Rhinolophus ferrumequinum: one gene and its partner. The protein of the gene in region 2 interacts with the protein of the main gene of each other region in a pairwise test. Links are inferred from orthologs where the notes say so. Each region holds a gene or a part of one and is shown on either strand. Other genes may lie near its edges.

What was found. The genes of interacting proteins can lie anywhere in the genome.
Region 1: the proteins of SSC5D (region 2) and EXOC7 interact in binary tests that used the Homo sapiens proteins (3 or more experiments, as listed by UniProt). The two-hybrid records come from large-scale screens. The link is inferred for Rhinolophus ferrumequinum from reciprocal best matches to the Homo sapiens genes SSC5D and EXOC7.

The regions. Positions count from the first base shown.
Region 1 is NC_046304.1:50,885,332-50,892,384, forward strand, and holds the start of EXOC7 (exocyst complex component 7), read right to left. Parts: upstream 3,017-7,053; 5' UTR 3,000-3,016; coding exon 2,859-2,999; intron 2,668-2,858; coding exon 2,602-2,667; intron 1,449-2,601; coding exon 1,264-1,448; intron 1,067-1,263; coding exon 961-1,066; intron 1-960. UniProt on the Homo sapiens protein: Component of the exocyst complex involved in the docking of exocytic vesicles with fusion sites on the plasma membrane.
Region 2 is NC_046298.1:48,595,994-48,603,666, forward strand, and holds the start of SSC5D (soluble scavenger receptor cysteine-rich domain-containing protein SSC5D), read left to right. Parts: upstream 1-4,671; 5' UTR 4,672-4,805; coding exon 4,806-4,830; intron 4,831-5,329; coding exon 5,330-5,356; intron 5,357-5,666; coding exon 5,667-5,975; intron 5,976-6,140; coding exon 6,141-6,260; intron 6,261-6,447; coding exon 6,448-6,561; intron 6,562-6,858; coding exon 6,859-7,167; intron 7,168-7,673. Other genes in the region: ZNF628 (zinc finger protein 628), read left to right, coding at 1-724; NAT14 (probable N-acetyltransferase 14), read left to right, coding at 2,063-2,134, 2,758-3,306.

The DNA of each region.
Region 1 (7,053 bases), on a different chromosome or scaffold from region 2:
GTCAAATGTAAAAACATGAATTCAGGTTCCCAGAATAGTCCAATTTATAGAGACAGAAAGTAGAATAATGGTTGCCAGGGGTTGGAGGGAGAGGAGAAAGGGGAGTTACTGTTGAATGGATCAGAGTTTGAGTTTGGGATGAAAAGGGTTCTGGAGATGGACGGTGGTGATGGCAGCACAGCAATGTGAAAGTACTTCATGCCACTGAAGTGTTCACTTCAAAATGGTTAAAATATGAATGGGCCTAGAGAGTGTTATGCTGAGTGAAATAAGTCAGACGGAGAAAAGACAAATAACATCTGATCTCACTTACACGTGAAATCTGAACAACAAAATAAACAAACGAACAAAACAGAAAGAAACTCATACACACAGAGAACAAATTGGCGCTCGTCAGTTGGGAGGGGTGTTGGGGGGATGGGTGAATAAGGTGAAAGGGATTCAGAAATACAAACCGCCACTTATTAAATGAGTCACGGAAACGTAAAACACAGTATAGGGAATAGAGTCAATATTGCAATAAGTACGCATGATGTCAGATGGGTACCAGACTTATTGGGGTGATAACTTTGTAAATTATATAAATGTCTAATCACTATGTTGTACACCTGAAATGAATATATTGTTTGTCCACTGTAATCAAAAATAACTTTAAAAATTATAAATTTTATGTTATGTATTTTTACCACATTAAAAAAAACCCCACAAATGCGTTTATATAAATCAAATGTTAAATTTACATTTTATATGTAATTTATAATTTAGTTAAATTATACAAATGTAACAAAAACGTATGATGTCATTCCTGAGGCAGAGGTCTTCATGACTACAGTCTGTGAACTGTATTATATAGTTCTGTTTATTCTACTATAGCCTTTTTGAAGCTGGCTTAGTCTCTCCTGAGACCAGGGCAGTGACTGGTGTCCCCATCGCTCTCATATTACCCTGCTGGTCCCTTACCACTTTGTTGAGCTCTGGGCTGTCTGGGCTATTGTCCTGGAAATATTCCACAGCCTTCTGAATCTTGGCCATGCTTCCCAGGTATTCTTCCAGCCTACCTGTGGGGCTGGGAAGGAAAAGAGCCAGATCGGCCTGGGTGGATGGAAGATGAAGAGAAGGACCAAGGGAATGGTAATAGAAAGGGGAAAGAAAAGAAGTAACACAAGGGACTCCAGGCTCAAATACATTCCACCCCTCCCTCCCAAGGCCTATGGCCACTGGTCCAGGAGGCGTTAGGAATGTGACCCTCTGGCCCTGGCTCACCCCTCCCTGATGATCTTCTCAGTGTCACTGGCCACGTGGTAGTAGCTGATGACGTGGTCCAGGCAGGACAGAGTCTTCTCAACATTCTCCTGCAGCCGCTGCAGGTTCTCTGTCTGCTTGTGAACAGGGATGATGGAGTTTTCCAGCTTCATCAGGCGGCTCTCAAAGGATGACAGGATAGACACCTGCGGGGGAAGCCCCGTGCTCTCAGACCTCAGGGTGGTCCCAGCACCGCTTCTACCCATCGGGTCGTGGCATTTGCTGCGTTTTTCTCTGGTTTTCTAGACACCAAGCTCTGTGAGGGAAGGGGCAGGGTGTACCTGTTCATCTCTGTAGCCTGAGCACGTCCCATGTGCCGAACCATAGGAGGTGGTTCAAATAAATTGGATGAAGTTTGATTTGAAGGCAAGCCAAGCAGCAAATTAACTTCTTCTAAGTTAATCACCCCAGGATGGCTTCCCTTCCACCCTTTGAAGCTAAATCTCTATTTCTGTTCTCTCTGAAGCTTTCCTACACTGAACAGGAAGTAACTTCATATAGAGGGGCTCAAATGCATTGCTGGTACCTTCAAAACCCTCCCTCTCTAAGGGGGAGTGTCATTCAATAAGGAATAGGACTTTACGATTATGTTATTAAATACATACCCAAGTTTGTATTTACTCAATTTGTGCTTTTCCAGTCTCCTCTGAAAATAAGGAAGGAAACTGCTATCTGTTGAGCACCTACTGTATACCAGGTACTGTGCAAGATGTGTTAGCCCATGCATTAGCTCCTATGACCTTCACAGCCACCCTGGGAGGTTGACAGTGGCTGTCTTATCGGATGCGTTAACTGAAGCCCAGAGTTACCTGTCAGGAGCCATACACAAATAAGTGGAGGGGGAGGGCTAGATCCTAGATCTATCTGACTTCAAAGCTTGTTCTACCCCTACAGCCCTCCAGGCGTGACGGCTGAGTTCCCCTGCCCTCCTCATCTTGGAAGTGCTCTATCCCTCCCATCCCACCATCCCTCCAACTGAAGGCTGCCACGTGACCAGTACCCAGCCCACCAAAGTCAGTCTCACTAAATGTTTGCAGAAAGACAGAAGGAAGAATGGAGAACTTGAACAGAAAGCAGAAAGTCCAGGCCAGAGGGGCTGCAGCATCCTCAGTGAAGCGGCGGACAAGGGGAAGGCAGCGAAGTAAGAGACAAGCCACACGGTTGCTAGAGAAACCCACACGCGACCACCATCATTAGCCGGGCCAGAACCTCAGGCCTTATAGACCGAACCGCAGGTCGCAGGGCTCCCCCCCAAGGTCTGGAGGCCTGTCAGCCCCTCCCAGCCGAGGCGTTACTTGCCATGTTCTTGGTGAGCTGGTCGCTCTTCTCCAGGCTGTCTCGGATGAAGGACAGCGTCTCTTCTTCCTGGGGAAGCGGAGGGGACGATAGTAGCAGAAGCCGGAAGCTAAAGGAGATCACCGCGCTCTCGCCCCCAACCCCATCTCCTTGAAGGGAGCGCTCCCACCCACCCCTGCCTCCTCCGTGAGTATATGCCCCGGCCCGGATCTCGGCTCCTTCCCTCACCTCCTCCACCACCTTCCCAGCCCCAGTCCCACCTGCTTCAGCTTGTCCTCGATCTCCCGCCGCCGGGCGGACGCCTCCTGCGGGGGAATCATCCCTTCGACCCTGAGGCTCCCACTTCCAGTATTTTGTCTCAGAGTGCGTGCCCTCTCGGCTCCCGTCCCTATCACACCCATTTCCGCCCTTGGCCCCGCCCCAGAGCTCGCTGGTGGTGCCATGTTGGGAGAGGCAGGCGGAAGTGCTCCTGCGCGGAGCCCAGTGACCGGCTGGAGCAAGTAGCCATCTTGGGTGTGGCTGGGAAGTGTGGCTGTTGTGGACCAGCCCGGAGAGCTTCACTCAACACTTAACCTTTCTGAACAGCACCTAGCCCATAGTAGATGCTCAAGAAAAATATTGAAAACATCTTGCTGTATAGGTCTTAGGAAGGGAATCCTCTATGACTGAATACTTTGAATTTTGTATAGTATCATTGCATTTTTGTAAATGAACTATATACGTGTGTGCTTTTTGTATCTTCTTAAATTTCCTTCACTAAGTTAATTTGGTAGCCAGCTGCCATGTATTGAAAGTCTTCTGTTTGCCCATCTCTGCTACAAACACCATCCTTACTCGTTATCTTGTCTAATCCTCACAATAAACTTTGGGCACAGCTGTTGCCTTCCTTCTGCCAATGAGGAAGCTCAAGCTTAGAGTCAGCTGCACTAAATCAACACAGCTGGCTGGGAGAGGGTTCTCCTCTACACCCCGCCCCCCCATGCTGGGTAGCTCAGGAGTTTTGTTTGTTGCTATGCAAAGCTGCCAATCTGATTTTCAAGAAAATCCAGTGTGAATAGCAGGGTATATTTATGACCACCATATCTAGGAAAAGGTAGACAGAATGGAAAGATGTTTAAATTATTCTCAACCCAATGTCAAGCATGTGTTGACAAGTAGACATTGAATCTATAAAAGCTGTAGTTCCCCAACTATCCTCAACACAAGCTGCTTTACCAAAAGAAGCAAGTAGTATTTCAGCTGCAGCCTCAGAAGCCTTGATTTTCCTTCACAAACTTGTACACAGCACAAAGGTGCCAATCACAGCCAAGTGCCCCACTGCCCGCTCAGAGAGATTCTCTTTCCAGAGGGAGGGAGGGAGGAAGAGCTCCCTCCCCCAACAGCGTGTTCTTTGGTAACATCCTAATTCCAGACTTTGTGTTCTTTCTGAGGAATCAAGTGTAACATTCCTCCAAATTAATGTTTCCTGGCCCTGTAGCCATCTGAAAATGTGGATGCTATGACGTAAACAACCACAACAGTGTATGTTCCCTGGGATTACAGCCATTTAAAATATGATAGATGCATTGAAAAAAAAAACATTCAGGGAAACAGCACAAAACACTAAAATAGTAAGTAGTAGAGTACAAGGGATGTTCAGTTTCTCTAGTTTTTAAAGATGATGAGTTTAAATTACCTTTCTATCAAAACACTTCTAAGAGAACAAATTTTACTTTTTTCTGTAATGATCAAAAATAGTCTCTTTTCCTCATTTCGAAACCACCAGCCATCAACAGTGCCATCTGGCAGAGTGGTCAAGAGTTTTTTTTTTGTTTGTTTGTTTGTTTTTTTTTTTTTTTTTTTTTTTTTTTTTAACTCCTCTTAGATATAAAATGAGAGAAAGGACCAGGGTGTACAAAGCCCAGGAGTGGACAGCCTATTGCATGCTGTCTTACAACGAAGAGAGAGCAAAGGAAAGGTTGAGCGTGCTCTCAGCCTCCTGTGGGCTCAAATCTGCAATTTGGTTTTAAAACTAGTTTTTCAAATTAAATGTAATCCTACTCAAACGGTAAAGAAGGTACATGGTGAAAAACAAAAGGTGCCCTGCTCTTCCTCGACCCTCAAGCACCTCTGTCCCAGAGGGAACAGCAATGATGTGTTTCCAGATGTGTTCATACGAATCAAGCATAAAATAAGCTCTTCTTTCTATTTTTTTTTAAAACAGAACACAAATGCTATCACGTTAAACACACTTTCCTGTAGCCTGCTTGTTCATTTAACAGTATACCTTAATCATCTTTCAATATTAGTATTAGATATACTCCATTCTCTGTATAGACTTTCATTGAATAGATATATTCAGGCAATCCTCTATTAATGGACACTTGGGTCTTTTGCTATTGGAAATTCTATCCCATATACAGATGGCTTGTGTATGATCACTTCTGTATGGACATCTTATCTATACATTACTAAATTAAAATGTATATAACCTTTAAAAGTTTTATAGATATGTACAAATTGCCATCCAAAATGGTGAACTAACTTATATTTCCAATAGTAAGGTATAAATGTGCCTATTTTCCCACACCTTAACCCACACTATGTATTATCAAACTTTAACATTTTTTCTAATCTGATAAATGAAACATGGCATCTCATGGTTAATTTTGAACTAAATGAAAAGGAAAACACAACTAATGAATATTTGTGAGGTGCAGTGAAAACAGTGCTTAGACGGAAATTTCTAGCTTGAATGCATACATTAGGGGGAAAAAAGATCTAAAATGAGTAATCTAAGCCCCCACCTTAGGAAACTAGAAAAAGAAAATTAAATCCAAAATAAGCAGAAGAAAAGAAATAATAAAAATTAGAGCAGAAATCAATGAAATCAAAGACAGGAAATTAATAGAGAAAAATCAAGGAAATCAAAAGTTGGTTCTTTGAAAAGATCAATAAAATTGATACCCTCTAGTCAGGCAAGAAAAAAGAGAGAAAACACAAATTACTAATACCAGAAATGAAATAGGGGCATCATTACTGATCTCATGGACATTAAAAAGCTAATAAAGGAATATTATGAATAACACTATGCCCCCAAATTTGATTCCTGGGTGAAACAGACCAATTTCTTGAAAGATACAATCTACCAAAACTCACACAAGGAGAAACAAATAATCTTAACAGACCTATAACTATTAAAGAAATTGAATCAGTTAATAAGCTTCCAAAACAGAAAACACCAGGCCCAGATGGTTTCACCAATGAATTCTACCAAATATTTATGGAGAAATGACACCAATTCTCTACAATCTTTTTCAGAAGATAGAAGCAGAGGGAATACTTCCAAACTCATTCTATGAGGTCAGCATTACTCTAATCCTAAAACCAGAGAAAGACATTACAAGAAAGGAAAACTACAGACCAGTATCTCTCATAAATACAGATGCGAAAATACTCAAAATATTAGCAAATAAAATCCAACAATGTGTAAAAAGAATTACCTACCATGACTAAGTGGGATTTATTTCAGGTATGCAAGCCTGGTTCAACTTAATTGTATATTTAATGTTTAATATTTCCTTCTTGGCCTTTTTTTTTCCCCTGAAAAAAACTTCCTAGATATTCTCATTTTGTTTATTTTTTTCAGGTGAGCTTTAAAATCATTTTCACAACCACGAATCAAATGTCCCCTGAGTACAGTGGTTTGAATTCAGGTCCCCAAAAAGACTGGGACGTCACCAGGGAACAATGCCCACTTGAGGGATGGAGGAAAAGTGTGACCCTGGAATGGGAGGGCTGGAAAGCTGGATCCTGAGTCTTCCTGCTGGAGCCTGTGAAGTGGCCAGCAGAGAGCAGGGCCCACTGCCAAAAAGAAGGACCTCACAGGTCAGAGCTGGAGCCAAGGAGTGACCAGGTGGATGGAGCCCAGCTGAGGGCAGATCAAAGGCAGGGAAGAAGCAACTGGTCTTCACAGATGAGTGACAAAGTGAGAGGAAAGCTAGGCCTCCAGGACAGATGCTATCATGCAGGTGACAGGAAGACCTGGGCTTGTCTTCTATAGGGTTGCCTCTCAGGCATCCAGCTGGACGCAGAGAGGGTGCCCAACAAATCTGTGATGAACAAATAAGCAAATAATTACATGATGACTAAATCCACGAGGGTGAGGGGGGAGCAGGGGCATAGAGGGAGGACCAAAGGGGTCAGACAAGCTCGTAGGTACATGTCCCAGAGTGGGGCGAGGGAAAGGAGGTAGGGTGCGCTATACTCCTGGGACCAGATGGAACATTCTGGGGCCACAGGCACAGTCTCACCTGGCAAGATGGTGGGCCTGGAGGCCATAACAGCCTAGGCTCTTGGGGAGGTTCTGTCTGGCCAGGGGCATTTTAGATCCTAAAGTGGGAGAGTGGCTCTAAGAGATACCCCGCTATTCCCCAGCCCCTCGGCTGTCTCTGGGCCTGGTCAACTTTTGCCTCC
Region 2 (7,673 bases):
TGGGGACGCGGGGCCACAGGAAGTGAGCGGGGTCCAGCTCCAGCCCCTCCGGCCAGCCCCGGAAGTGACCACGGTCCAGCTCCAGCCGGCACAGGAAATGACCACAGTCCAGCTCCAGCCGGCACAGGAGGTGACCACAGTACAGCTCCAGCCTGTGGCGGGCCAGCTGCCCAATCCCAGTGGGGGAGCTGTGACCACTGAGACCCCCAACCTGCTGGTGGTGCAGAGTGGGGCAGCAGAGGAATTGCTGGCGGGCTCTGGCCCTGGGGAGCCGGGTGACGGCGAGGCCAGCACTGGTGTGGTCCAGGATGTGCTCTTTGAGACGCTGCAGACGGACGAGGGGTTGCAGAGCGTCCTGGTACTGAGTGGGGCCGATGGGGAGCAGACCCAGCTGTGTGTACAGGAGGTAGAGACCGTCCCGTCAGGGCTGGCGGAGTCACCTGCCCCTGGGCCGCCAGGACAGAAACTGCTCATCATCCGCAGCGCGCCAGCCACCGAGCTGCTGGAGAATAGTGTTGGCGGCGGTGCCACCACGCTGCAACTGCTGGCCCCACCGCCACTTGGCCCAGCCTCTGCCCCTGCCGGCATCCCCGCGGGTCCCGCCTCCCAGATGGTACAAGTGGTCCCCGCAGGAGCTGTGCCTGGGGGCATGGCCCCTCAGGGCCTGCCCTCCATCCAGATTCTCCAGACGCTGCCCGCAGTCCAGCTAGTGCACACATTTTGAGTAGAACCACTGGTACCTCTTCCTGCCCCACAGAGACCCAGACTCTGTCTGCTTGGGCTGAACTGGGGGCAGGAGAGCTGCAGGCTGGGCTTCTAATAAAGACCAGAATCTCCTCTCCTGTGTTTTGTTTTCTTGGGGTGGGGGAGGGCAACGTCATGGCCATAGCAACTGCTTGGGAGCTTGGAGTCTCATCTCTTGCATCCTGGCTCGCAGTTGAGTTGCTTGGGGGCCAGCCACTTCTACGTGGGGCTCTGTTTACTATTAAAAAGGGGATGCAGTGGTCACTAGAGTGGGGAGATGTGGAATTTAGAATCCTGCTCTGCCACCTGTTCACTGTAACTCCACCTCTCCCCTCATTTGAAAAGTCTGTGGTGGGGGGAGGGGAATGCTTGTCCCGAAGGTCACTGAGCCCGGTGGGTTGGGACGGAGGTCCCTGGGGTGAGCCAGTTTGGGAGCTGGTGGGCTCAGGATGCTGAAGCGGCCCCTCCCACGAAGCCCTGGGCACCAATGAGAATTGATTCTCTCCTATCACCGCCCCCACCCGGCACTCAGGTTGCTTAGCAACCAGGGAACCTCGAAAAGCGAGCGTGCGCACCCCCTCAACTGGCCGGTAAGTACAGCTCCCAGCTCCCACCCCGCCAGCGTCTGCTACTCCCGCCGCTGTCGTCTTACGGGTCCCCTTTCTCCATCGCTCTTTCGCTCCCTACCCCACATCCAGCAGAGTCCCTGCGCCCTGCCCTAGCCCCTCCTCAACCCCCTGCCAAGCTTGGCAACAGTTAAGACCGAATGCAGGCACCACACTGCACCGCCTCCAACGTGCGCGGTCTGACGTCACTTCCGCCGGCGACCCCTTTCCTGACCCTGTCCTCCCTCCCCATACCTTGTCAAAGAATCGGAGCCACCGCAGAGGTGTTTGTAGGTTCTTGCTCCAGCAGCGACTGTGGGGCGGGACGCTTGGGTTTGGGGAGCTTGGTCCATTACCTGGCCTTGGGGTGGGGGTTCGATGACCTCCCCCTGTAGAAGCCCCGGAGCCTGGAAGGGGGCCCTGTATAGCCAGGTGTTGGTGTCTGCAAGGTATTTAGGGTAAGATCGCTGAACACCACGGGTTGGGGGAGTGAGACCTCAGGAGACGTTAGGAAGGTGGCTGGGTGAAGGGGGCAGCCTGTCCTGCGTGGGATCTCGCTTGGGGCATCCCAAGCATCCTCACTGTCCTCATCTGATACATGCTGCTGCTGGTCCCCACCCCTGGGGCTCTTGGAGACCAGAGGTGCCCTCCTGACGTTGATCTGCTTGTTTTCACCAGGTGCACGCCTGCTCCCTGGGGGCACGGGGACTGCCATGGCCCCCAGCCACCTTTCAGTGCGGGAGATGAGAGAAGATGAGAAGCCCCTGGTGCTGGAGATGCTGAAGGTGAGTACAGCAGGGGCACCTGGGGGTAGGGGCAGCACGGTGAGCCAGCTTTTCCTTCGAAGCCACTTCTGGCTTGGCCCCTTCTCCCTCTAGTGCCTTCTGCCTACCCCTGCGGTCAGGAGGGTTTTAATGCTGGAGGGCTGTGGGGTCTGTCTCCTCCCCGACACTCCTCAGAGCAGAGCCTGGGTCTCAGCCCTGTACTCATCCTCTGCTCCAGCAACAGAGCATGCCCATTTTCTGGCCGGGGGGCAGTCGCCCATTTTCTGGCCGGGGGGCAGTCGCCCATTTTGGTCTGATCTCAATCTTCCCTGGTGCCTCCCGCACATTCTTCTCCTGAATTGGGTGTCCTCACAGTTCCTAATTCATTCACTCATTCTCTCACTCATTCATTCACTCATTCAAAGCCCAGTGTGCCAGATGTAGTGTTTGCTGGTGCACAGAGCAGATGTGGTCCAGGCCCTGCCTGTCCTTCTACCACAGGCCCAGTCCCTTTTCCTTTGGGAGCCCCCACCCTGAGTCCCTCCTGGGTAGGGTCTTCTCCCTCTCCTTGTTCCTGGTGTTCACGGGGGCCCTCGCTGATGGGAGGCCCAGTCCCCTGCTCTGACTGCGCCTCCTACCCACAGGCTGCTGTGAAGGATACGGAGAACCGAGTGGCCCTCCACGCCCTGACACGGCCGCCTGCGCTGCTGCTCCTGGCGGCCGCCAGCAGCGGCCTGCGCTTCGTGCTGGCCTCCTTTGCCCTGGCCCTCCTCCTGCCTGTGTTCCTGGCTGTGGTGGCCATGAAGCTCGGCCTGCGTGCCCGGTGGGGCTCGCTGCCTCCACCAGGTGGCCTAGGGGGGCCCTGGGTGGCAGTGCGCGGCTCAGGTGATGTGTGTGGGGTCCTGGCCCTGGCCCCAGGCTCTAACTCTGGGGATGGGGCCCGGGTCACTCGCCTCTCTGTCTCCCGCTGGCACCGCCGCCGAGGCGTGGGCAGGCGGCTGCTGGCCTTTGCCGAGTCCCGGGCACGTGCCTGGGCAGGGGGTATGGGGGAGCCCCAGGCCCGCCTCGTGGTCCCAGTGGCTGTGGCGGCTTGGGGCGTGGCAGGGATGCTGGAAGGCTGCGGCTACCAGGCTGAGGGGAGCTGGGGCTGCATGGGCTACACACTGGTAAGGGAGTTCAGCAAGAACCTGTGACTCCAACGTACGCACCTACTGTGTGCGGGCACTTTCACATTCTCCCTGTGCGAATCCCCAGCCTGCCCAGGGCCCAGAAACTGAGGCCTGCAGAGGGAAAGACAGCCTGAGGTCTGAGGTCTGTCTTTCGTGTCTGAATTTCTCAGAGTGGTCAACCTATCTGGCCTCCTGCCTCAGATTCTGTCTGCACTGAGACATCTCCCCAGTCTGTCTCTGCAAAGCCTGCACCGTTTGTGGTACCAGCCTGGGTGACAGAGAGGAGGAAAGGAGTCTGAGCAAGTGTGCCTCCCCAAGGGTTAGGAGTTGGGGCAGGGACACCCCAAACTGGGATGAGGCCCCCACCATGAATGGGGTGGGGTTTGATGCCTGTGCTTGGAGAGGATGAGTCTGGAGCCAGAGGGGATGAGCAGAGCCTCTGCGAGGAGGGTTGTCTCCTAGAGAGGCCCTGCAAGGAGGGGGTGGGCACAGGAAGGCCGGCGGCCCCTCCCTGGGGGAAAGGGACTGCTAAGAAGGGTGGCCAGACCTGTCTGGTGTTTTTATACCCGATTGTTAATAAAGCCTGAAACTGCTCTGCGCCTGGCTTGCTCTCTCTCTGATGCCTTTTCCAGTCTGTCTTGGAATCCCTCCTTCAGTCTGGCTCCTCCTTTCCTGAGTTGACATTAATTGGTGGTGGTGGTGCTGGCTCAGGAGAAAGGGAGGCATGAGCTCACGGCAGCCTCGCTCCTAGCCAGCCCTCTGACTCACGCTCCCCATTACCGAGGTTTTCCGCCTCCCAGCTGCCTGGTGCCCAGAGAGTGAGTGTGTGTGCACATTCAGTCACCTCTAGCACCCAGGCCTTGACCTGAGGTCTGCCCAGTTCCCCACCCCAGTTGCCTCGGGGTTGGGGGACATATAAGTTCAACCACTTCTCCCTCAGATGGGGGGCTTTGCATCCAACTCCACGCTGGGGAACAGAGTCTCCTTTCCCAATCTAGGAAGTCCTTCCTGGTGTCTGGCTGGAAGCCTCTTGCTGCTGAACCTTGATCCCCAGCTGTGCCAGGTCTCAAAGGCCCACAGCTCCTGTGAATCTACCCTCTAGCCCCTACACCCTGGTCCAATCCACATTTTCCTGCTTGGATAAGAGAGGAAGCAGACGGGTGGGTGCCTCGCCCATGTCGTCCCTTCCCTGAAGCCTGCCCTCCGTCCTCTAAGCATCTCTACGCCCCGCATGCCTGGCTGGCCTGTGTGGGTGTTTGCAGTTGGACATCCTCCCTCCAGCCCGCCACCCCCCTCCCCCCCCAGGCCTCAGCCGCTGGCCAGCCCCCTCCCCGCCCCCCTCCTGTCCCCTGCTGCCTCCTCGGCAGCCTTTCTTGCTCCTGGCAAAGCGTCTAGCTCCTGCCTGCTCCTCCCGGGTCCAGGGCGCTTCAGCAGGCGCTTCCCCCCTCCCTCCAGTGGCGGCTGCCTTCTGCCCTCTCCTGATCCTCCCCTCTCACCCCATCTTTGCCCTGGACTCTGCAAACATGAGGGTCTTGGCCTGCCTCCTCGGTGAGTGACCCATTCTCCTTGGGGACTCGGGGGCCTGGGCCCCACCCTCTGACCCCTGAGCTCCTGCAATTGAGGGGCCCATTCTTCCAGGGCCCATTCCTGGTGCTTGGGGACACAGGACATCTGCCCTCCCTACCTGACCGCCCAGGGACCCAGCCTTCTATATGCCAGTCCCACCCTCTTAGGAGGCCCAGCGACCTACTCATCCCCACCACCAGGCTTGACCCTTTGGGGGGGTCACACACAATTTGACCTTTAGCCAGGCCTCTCTCTGGGGGAGCACAAGGGCCTGGTCCCCAGCCCTGACCTGTTGCATCTGGGGTCCTGCCCCTCCACCCTCGAGTCCTGCTTTCTTCCCAGTAGGGGTTTCTGGTTCAGAGGTGCAAGGATGTGTGTGTGTGTGTGAGTGTGTGCGCGTGCGCGCGCTGGGGTCAAGACTGGGGAAGGGACCCCTGGACCTGCCCCTCACTGTGTCCCACCCCTCCAACCTCCCTTCCAGTGGCTCTGATGGGGATCCAGGCTGTTGGTAAGTGTCCCCAAACACTCCTCTGTCTGGCCTCACCCAGCTCCAAGCCCATCCCATTCCCAGCCTCGCCCTCCCCTGGGATCCTGGCCACCTACCATCTGGTGATGACCTCAGGCACCATTCCCCCAGAACTACCGCGGCAGTCAGCCACCCGCTTCCTGCAGGGACCAGGGTCTCTCACCACTACTTTCCTGGACCCCAGGCTTTGGGGTACCCACCAGCAACAGGATACTGGCCTAGTCGCACTCTGGAGGGCTACCCTTTGCCCCAGGGCTTCCAGGATGTCACACCCTTTCCTCCGTTCCCCCAGAGCGGTTGCGGCTGGCCGATGGCCCCCACGGGTGCGCGGGCCGGCTGGAAGTGTGGCACAGTGGGCGCTGGGGGACGGTGTGCGATGACGGATGGGACCTGCGGGACGCCGCAGTCGCCTGCCGGGAGCTGGGCTGCGGGGCGGCACTGGCCGCCCCCGGAGGTGCCTTCTTTGGGGAGGGTGCAGGTCCCGTGTGGCTGAGTGAGCTGGCCTGCCGGGGCGGCGAGGGGCAGCTGGGCCTGTGCCCCCACCGAGGGTGGAAGGCCCACGTCTGTTCCCATGAAGAGGATGCAGGCGTTGTCTGTGCAGGTAAGGACCCCAAATCCTCAGCCCAGTCACTCTGAGGGTCTAGAAGTCCCAACATTCCCTCCAGAGCCAGGGGTCTTCCTCCAGGACCCCAACTTATCACTGCCCAGGGATCCTGGCCCAGCCTCTCCCAGGGCCCACCCTCTGGAGCTCCCCTGCTCTCCGCAGGTCAGCGTGTGGCTAACTCGAGGGACATGGACGGTTCACCTTCGTTCCTGGATGGGGACCCCTGGCAGGGGCTGTCTGGGGAGCTGAGTCCCAGCTCTGAGGAGCCCCCTGTGACACACAGTGAGCCCACCCACCCATGTCCCCTCCTGCTTCAACCGTGGGGGAGAGGGGCCTTCCACATTCATGTTGCCCAGGGGGCAGACAGATGCCCATCTCCTCGCCAACCCCGAGGGTCCTGGCTCAGCCCCCCAGGCAGGAGTAGGGTTGAGCGGCTCCCTCCCACCCTCCTTACTGTCTCTTCTTCCAGCCCCCCGCCCAGCTGGGACCCCCCAGAGCAGCTCCCGGAAGAAAAGCCCCCGGCCTCCCAAGCAGGCCAAGTCCACCAGAGCCCCTGCACTGATGGCTGGAGCCCCACACCACGGTAAGTTCCTTGCAGGCCTCCCCTCTGCAGATCTGGACCAGCTTGGGCCCCCTGCGTGTCCTCCTGAGTCAGGCCTGGTCCCCCACCCCACCCCACCCGGTCAGGGAACCCAAGTGTCTGTTTCGAGCACCCAGGCACCCTGCCCCACTTACATTCTCACTCTCCCTGTAATGGCCAGGCTGGCAGATCTCAGGCCACTGCCCTCTCCAGGCCTCAGTTTCCCTAGATGGAAAACGAGGGGTGTTTAAATCCACTTATCCCGGCTGCTTCACACAAGGCTCCTGTCCATCCCCACAGAGCGGCTGCGCCTGGCCTCGGGCCCCCACGGTTGTGCAGGTCGGCTGGAGGTGTGGCACGGTGGGCGCTGGGGGACGGTGTGTGACGACGGATGGGACCTGCGTGACGCAGCTGTGGCCTGCCGGGAGCTGGGCTGCGGGGGGGCACTGGCTGCCCCAGGAGGGGCCCGATTTGGCCCAGGCTCAGGGCCTGTGTGGATGGATGATGTGGGGTGCGGAGGTGGAGAGCAGGCCCTGAGGGACTGTCCCCGGAGCCCTTGGGGTCGGAGCAACTGTGACCACAGCGAGGACGCAGGGCTGGTCTGCACAGGTGCGTTTCTTCCCTGGGCCTGGATCTGCCCACAGCACAGTGGCATCTGCAGTGTCTCCCTGGGTGTCTGAAGCATAGTGTGCAGAGGAGCACAGAGCTGGGGGCCAGGGACAGTGAGGGGTCCCTCCATGTGCCACAGGGTGGGAAGCACGTGGGGCCCAGTTCCTGGGAGATAAGTTGAGGCTTCAGAGAGGGTTACATTGTCGGGGAGAAGTGAACCCCACTGAGGTGCCCGGGGGAGCTCAATGCCTTAAGATCTTTAATACTTCAGTGCGACCCTGTAGGGGAGGGCCTGTCATTTCCGAGGAGAAGTAAGTGCAGGCATTTCTGGCCTCTCTCTGGCCTGCAGTTCCGCCTCCCTGCATACTGACTGGTAGAGAGATGGATTCCACATTCCCCCAGTGGCATCTCAGCTTTTATTCCAGAAAGACCCAACAGAAATGAACCCTAAAACTGACGAGAGGTCTAGACTAGTGGTTTTCCACGTGGGGTGATGAACAATTATC